Linked DNA regions of Oreochromis niloticus. The main gene of each other region encodes a partner of the protein of the gene in region 2 in a complex. Links are inferred from orthologs where the notes say so. Each region holds a gene or a part of one and is shown on either strand. Other genes may lie near its edges.

Region 1 (3,830 bases), on a different chromosome or scaffold from region 2:
GATTTTCAGTATAAATTTTGTGTAATTTGTCACACCTCGGCCTTTTCTCCCTCTTTCACTGAGACCATTTCTGACGAGGCTTCAGTGAACAGTAGATGGTTCACCTGAAGGTCCAGATACATCTTTCCAAACACATCTCTCTTGCTGGACTTCTGTTTCTTGAGGACATGACTTTCAGATACTGTTCATACGCTGTATGAAGCTTGTTGGACCTACCACCTCTTCTTTTGTCTTCTGCTTGTTTTTTTATTGCAATAAAACTGTACAATTCTTCCTCACTCTGTAGGTGATTTTCCTGAGGATTAATAACAAAGCTAATCTGTTCCCATTCAGACCGTGCAATATCACCCAACAGTTTTTCATTGAATGTTTGTTTCATTTCCCCATCGTATGCTGCTACTCTTTTATTTATTTGCACAATACTATACTTTTAGAATCACCTGCACTGATAGCTAAGCTAAGCTATTTATTTTTCAGGATATAGTTATATTGTTACTTGCTACAGTTATTCGATATTATATTTTGCACTATTCTACTGTATATTACTGTATACTTGTATTCTATTGTACATATTGTATATCTTATTACTCTGTTCCTCTGTCTCTCTTGCTGCATTGAGCATGTGTATGACAAAAGAATTTCCCTCGGGATAAATAAAGTTCTTCTTATCTTATCTTATCTTAACTTATCTTGTCCAGTTTCATCTGATATTTTACTTCAATTCAATTTTATTTCTGCAGGGCCAAATCAAAACAAAAGTTGCCTCAGGGCGCTTTGTTTTGTGAGGTAAAGAACCTACAATAATATAGAGAAAACATAGAAAAGCCCAACAATCAGATGACCCCTTATGAACAACAGCTTTGGCCTGGGACAGTGGAAAGGAAAAACTCCTTCTTTTTTTTTTTTTTTTTGCTTGAATGATAAGATCCATGTTAAGTAGTTTAAAAAGAAAACAAAGAAAAACCAAAACAAACACACAAGCAAAAAATAATCATCTGTAAATGTTCAGGTGCAAAGATTGAAGTGAAAATGAACGAGAAAGAACTAAAAAAAATGAAACTGAGAGAACTATTGCTCAATTAAATTTTAAGGAATTACAAGAAAGCAACTCCTTGAGAGCAGAATATAAAATATATAAACATAGTATAATAATGAATAATAAATAGAATAAAAATATGTATTTAAAAAATATAGGTGACTCAAGACTTTTGCACTGTATTCTGTAAAAGGGAAAGGAATAAATCTATGTTTATGTCTAAGTATCTAGGTTATGTGATGAAAATATTATGTTATTAAATTATTATATATTATAACTAACAATTATAACTATTGTTCGAAGCATGTAAACTTTTATTTTTTAGTAAAATTAGCTCGTGTAGTTACTAAAGACAGCAACGCTTCTTTATTAAAAGATCAATCCGAGTTTTTGTTGTTGTAATTCCACGAAACATCCAGCAGGCGGCAAACTAGAGGACCCAGGGCTGCGGCGTCCACAGGAAACAGAGATCAACAAAGCGGAAGTACTGAAAGGAAACCTCGATTATTTTTCCAGCTACCCAAAGGGGAAAGTGAGAGACGATTTTTGTGTCAAACAACAAATTTGGCATCACAGCAACGCCGAAGCATGGACAGATAGTGTTTGTTTAACTGAGTAAGTTGACAATTTGACGCACAGTTTTAAGATTTAGCCTCCATATCGATTCTCCACCGGATTCGGTGCTAACGTTAGCCGCTATTGTTTTTAGCACCAATGTTAGCGCAAACTTCGGTGTGTTTTTTATTGTTTGTTTTACTCGGTGAAACTCCACAGCCATGATTAATCTATGGTCTGTTGTTTTTATATTTTGAGTGTCGTATTTTTCACTAACTCGATTAATGTTTTCAGTAAACCCATGCCATTGTTTGTCGGCTAAGTTGCATGGCTTGGATTTTGGCATACTTTCGGTATTGTAAAGGTAGTAGAGTTACTAATAAATATTGTAAACAAAAAATAAAATCAACTAAAGCTAAAAGGCTTTATATTGTAAATATAAAGCATCGGCTTTTATGGTAAAACTTCGTGTTATTTTTTTACTTTAAAACCAAGAGTCTTCAGAGCTTGAATAAAGAAAGCAACTGGACTTCTTTAGCTTTGTGAAGACGTTTTATCCAAGAGGCTTATTCAATTTTAAAAACCAAAAAGGTGGAAAGTCCCAGGAATTTTCCCCTTTACGTTGTCCTGAGAGTCGTTAACCCACTATTAATAATGTGACTCATCACATGAACCAAGGTGTGAATAAAGGAGTGGGCCATTATCATCATCGAGGGGTTAAGGGTGAAACTACTGGGAAGGGATCCTAAGACTGCATTGTAGTTTGTTGATACCTGGCGTCCTAATTGTATCAATAATGGTCGTTCACAGTGGGTTTAGATGATCAGAACCTCAATAGGTCACATGATGGAGTGGGCAAGAGTAGTTTTGCCCTTATCCCCCAGTGATGGAAATGACCCACGCCCTTTTTTCACACTTTGGCTCACGATCAGTAGTCTGTCAACAACTCTCAGGACCACCTCCAAACAGGACGATCACTAGTACGGGTTAAATACCTGGACATCCCACCATTTGTCTTTAGAATTGAAGAAGCCTCTTAAATGGAAAGTCTGGCTTCACAAACCCAAAGACAGTTTCCCCCCTTTTCAAGCTCTGACAATTGAGAGGCTGCAAAGACATAAACTCTGCATTTTTGAGTGTAATTGGTAAAGAAAACGATGATACAAGCCTTTTTTTTATTAATGTCCTGACATTCAACCTAAACAGCTTGATCAACCTGTGATTAATTTCTGTAGTAACTCTAATTTCTGACTTTTTAATTTCAGATTCACGGCTGTGGACCTGGTAAAGAGGTAATTCATCACATCTGAGTTCAACTTGCTGCTGAGGGTTCGTGAGAGACCCACCACAACGGTTTTGCCCCGCAGTGACACTTCAGAGTCTCTCTGCTTTTCTTTTAGCCACTAGCATGGCTAACAGCACTGTGACAGTGGTTAAGGGTCTGCCACCAGGCCCTGCGGGTAGAAGTAGTCCAGAGGGATCTCAGGTTAGTTAATTTCTTACTTAGCAGAACCAAAGGCCAGGATCTGTGTAATAACTTACTGACTTCATGTCTTAAAATGCCAAAGATTGAGAGTGTATTTTGTTTTACATGAAGATTTTTTTTTTTTTTTTTTTTTACATGAAATATCATGAAAATATCAGTGCAAAACTTATGGCTCCTTGCTTTAAATGTGAGAAAACTGTGTTGTATTGTATTTTTGCAATCTCTTACTATCACTAAGCTGTTATGCAGACCACACAACCTCACCCATTAGCTTTGATGGATGCATCTTCTTTCTTCCCAGGTGCTAAGTAAGAAAAAGCTGCAGGACCTGGTGAGAGAGATTGACCCAAATGAGCAACTGGATGAGGACGTTGAGGAGGTTTGTCAGTAGTTTAAAAAAAAGTGCAAGATTTTTTGGCTAGACAGTAAAGCGTACGAACAGTGCATCTTCTCTTTATTGAATAACATTTAAACTTTTTTGCTTTAAAGCCTTTTTTCATCATTTGCAATGAAAACTTGCCTAATGCTGTTAACAGCTGAAAATATGATGGTTTTCAAGCTATAGTGAAACAGATGGTTTCTTCAGTTTGCTGTCTGGTTTTCAAAATCCCTGTTTTCTTCTCAGATGCTGCTACAAATTGCAGATGATTTTATAGAGAGTGTAGTGACGGCAGCCTGTCAGCTGGCACGCCATCGCAAGTCCAACACCTTGGAGGTGAAAGATGTTCAGTTACATCTAGGTAAGTTGCTTGT
Region 2 (3,600 bases):
AACTCCAGTCATCATAAAGTATTACTATGGGGGTTTGGACACTGACAAAATTTTAAAGTTTTTCTTAATGAATTGTTGTACAAATTCACTTTAGGTGCCTTAGATCTACTCAGATGTAGTATATAATGTTTTATCAGTATTTAACATTAAATAACAGTGAAGTGGTATCAGAATTGTGGTGCACTTTTGCTGTATTCAAGAGTAAACAGGCAAATTTACCTTGACCAGCATGTTTGGCTGAAATCCATCTAGCTGGTTGAGCAGCTCCAGCATGGTCCTCTGCACCTCTCTGTCTCCAGCCTTCTCGCTGTCAAACCTCTTGGTTCCAATGGCGTCCAACTCATCTATGAAGATGATGGATGGGGCTTTCTCTTTAGCCAGGGCAAAGGCATCTCTCACCAGCTTGGCACCATCTCCAATGAACATCTGCACCAGCTGTGGACCTGCAAGCTTCAGGAATGTGGCTTTGGTCTGAGCGGCACATGCCCTGGCCAGTAGGGTCTTCCCGGTGCCAGGGGGTCCATACATGAGGACTCCCTTTGGGGGCTGGATGCCCAGGTTTTCAAACTTCTCCTTGTGGTTCATCGGCAGCACTATCGCCTCCACCAGCTCCTGGATCTGCTTATCCAGACCTCCAATGTCGCTGTACTGCTCTGTGGGGCGCTCATCCACCTCCATGGCCTTGACTCTGGAGTCATACTCGGTTGGTAAGGTCTCCAGGATCAGGTAGGAGTCTTTGTTAACACCTACGAGGTCTCCCGGTTTTAGCTTCTCGGCGTCCACCAGCCCGATCACCGGCAGGAAGTAGGTCTGCCGGGTTGAAGTTTTGATAACTGCGCACTTTCCTTTTCTCTGGGAGTCCAGGTCCACGTTAGCCCCGTCCTCCTCCTGGTCGTTGGGGTCCACATCCAGCAGCTCGATCACGTTAGACACCAGGTAGGGCAGCGTTTTGTTCACCTTTATCTTCTCCGTGTTTTCTTTAATTTTATCCTTCATAGCCTGAAGCTCGTGGGTTACTCTCAGCACTTCGCTCTTCATTATCTTTATCTCGCTGTCGAGGAGACGAGTGCGCTGAACTATCTCCTCTGTGGACATTTTTAACACTTCTTCGCCGATCCCATCCTCCACTTCATCCCAAACTGATTTGTCACTCAGCGACGCCATCTTTGCTGTGTCTGTGGTGAACTGTGACACGACGGAAGAAGAAGAAGGAGAAGCTTCCGGAAGTAGGTCGTGAGCGCCCAAGAAGAAGTCCGGGTTAATAACGGAGCTGGAGCTGAATTTATGCTGTTTGTGTGTTGATTTTAACAGCGGCACCTTGATTGTAAGCTAAAGAAGGGTTTTCTGGTTCATGCTGACAGACTTTTGAGTTATTTGCAGTTGTTTTTACCGCATAAATCCGAAATTTTTAAACGTTTACGTTGCAGATTCATGATTGCTAAATTTGCTAATGCTAACTGCCGCTAACTTCAGCTAGCCCGTGTGCTTACACGTTTCATTTTGTGCGAGGAATGTTTGGGAACTTTATTAGCGGCATTTTGCACACTTAACTGGTTAAAGGACACCTCATGTACTGGGCAAGAAATGAACGAGAGAGTTAAAGTAATGTTAGAAAAGGTTAAAGTTATTTAAATGAGTTCGCGCCACCGCTTGCTGCTGCACGATTTTGGTTTCATTCATTTGCATGTTGTTTACGCCACTTTGTTTGAATGTTTGTCTGAGTAAAGTGTGCTTCTTGTCATCTTTTCAGGCAAGACACTACTGCCGGGGGTAAAAAGAAGAGTCTGCAGTGTTTGCGTCTGGTGTTTGACATTGTAGGCTGAAGGTTTAAAGAGCCCTGCTGGGTTAGTTATCACGCTTTTACTGCCTTCTACTGGGTGGCAGTGAAGTAACGTGGGAATCTAAAGGGATGGACCAGAACAACAGCATACCAGCCTTCCAAGGGCTGGTGGCTTCCCCTCAGGTAACATGGGCTTTGTGTTTCATCGTTAAGGCATTTTGAAAATGAAGTCACAGATTTTAATGTCTTTAGCTATCCGTTGTTTCTTTATATTTATGCATCCAAGGAGCCAAGTTCTTCAGGCTTTCTAGGTTCTTAAAAATGGGGACTTTTTTCCACATTTTCAGTTCAGTCCCTGTTTTCATAGGAATCTGTATTGTTTGTTAAACCACTTAAAATGACTACCAATGAGAATGAAGGATACTGCTGATGAATGTATGTTACTTATGCAACCAGAGCCTGCTTTCCAGTGATGAACCATTAGCGACAAAGTGATGGATGATGAGTAATTTCCTCCCTGTGTCAACACCCCTTAAATCATCTCATGTGTTACTAAATATTAAGGTTGGGTGATTGGACAAATATATTGACTATCGACGATAGGCTGAGCCTTTAACAGATCACTTTTACAAGAATGATTTATTTATTTGTCTATGAGTAAGTTTTCTAATGATGTTGGTTAAAGCTAAGAGAAGCAGTCAACGGAAAAAATACTTTTTAACGGCACCCTCCTCAGAGTGCGCCCAAATGCAGCGATTCATTTACTCAAACTCATAATAGAAAGAAAGAAAGGGAGAAGAAGTTAAGAAGAAATTTTTTTTTTTTATTTAAATAAAAAAAAACACACACGCAATGGTGGGGAGGGAAACAAAGAGATACTGGCTAATAATCCAAAAAGTAGCTATAATAATACTGAAACAAGCAAGAAAAGAAGGTGAAATATTCCCCCCAAACAAAACATATAAATTCTGAACGCGCAAATCAGATTACATTACATTGCTCTGCCCATCAAAAAGCCTGAACCTGCGTGAATATATTGCATATCGTCATTTATCGGACGGACCATTGTCGTTTGGAAACTTTTTACATATCGTCCAACCTTACTAAATATGATTTATTTCTAAAGTTGCGTCTTTATTTCAAGAAAAAAAGACACCTTGAGCTGTCACAGTTGTGATCACTGACCTAAAAACAAGAATACTAACACTGAGGGAACCGTCTTATATCTTTGGTCTGTAGTTAGTTTGTGCTTCATTACGCCCTTCTTTTTGCTTTATCCCCATGCAGGGAGCCATGACCCCAGGCATGCCGCTCTTCAGCCCCATGATGCCATATGGCTCTGGTCTGACACCCCAGCCAGTGCAGAACACCAACAGTTTGTCAATACTGGAGGAACAGCAGAGGCAACAGCAGGCTCAGCAACAGCAGCAACAGGCACAACAACAGGCACAACAGGCCAGCTCAGGTACACCACAAGCTGTCATTTTTTTTATCTTCCACATTTATTATGAGAAATCTTGGTTTAATTAGCCGTGATGGAAGTTAATCTCCAGTTACACATAAATCACCACTTTTTTTTTTTTTCCTTTTGCAGGGACGTCGGGGCAGACCCCTCAACTTTTCCACTCCCAGGCAGTGGGAGGCTCGACCACAACTGCACTGCCAGGAAACACCCCCCTCTTCACCACCCCGCTGACCCCCATGACCCCCATCACGCCGGCCACCCCTGCTTCAGAAACCTCTGGCATAGTACCGCAGCTACAGTATGTTTCACATCTCATCCCACCCACCCCCATTTTTGGTGATAACTGCTTTAAACG

The links. Proteins that work in one complex are often made in the same cells at the same time.
Region 1: tbp (region 2) and taf12 share a complex: the UniProt entries of both Homo sapiens proteins name them as parts of the TFIID basal transcription factor complex. The link is inferred for Oreochromis niloticus from reciprocal best matches to the Homo sapiens genes TBP and TAF12.

Annotation. Positions count from the first base shown.
Region 1 is NC_031976.2:26,032,203-26,036,032, forward strand, and holds the start of taf12 (transcription initiation factor TFIID subunit 12), read left to right. Parts: upstream 1-1,492; 5' UTR 1,493-1,651; intron 1,652-2,856; 5' UTR 2,857-2,999; coding exon 3,000-3,077; intron 3,078-3,378; coding exon 3,379-3,456; intron 3,457-3,702; coding exon 3,703-3,817; intron 3,818-3,830. UniProt on the Homo sapiens protein: The TFIID basal transcription factor complex plays a major role in the initiation of RNA polymerase II (Pol II)-dependent transcription.
Region 2 is NC_031965.2:25,524,491-25,528,090, reverse strand, and holds the start of tbp (TATA-box-binding protein), read left to right. Parts: upstream 1-1,194; 5' UTR 1,195-1,324; intron 1,325-1,750; 5' UTR 1,751-1,909; coding exon 1,910-1,963; intron 1,964-3,067; coding exon 3,068-3,245; intron 3,246-3,374; coding exon 3,375-3,543; intron 3,544-3,600. Other genes in the region: psmc3 (26S proteasome regulatory subunit 6A), read right to left, coding at 220-1,164. UniProt on the Homo sapiens protein: The TFIID basal transcription factor complex plays a major role in the initiation of RNA polymerase II (Pol II)-dependent transcription.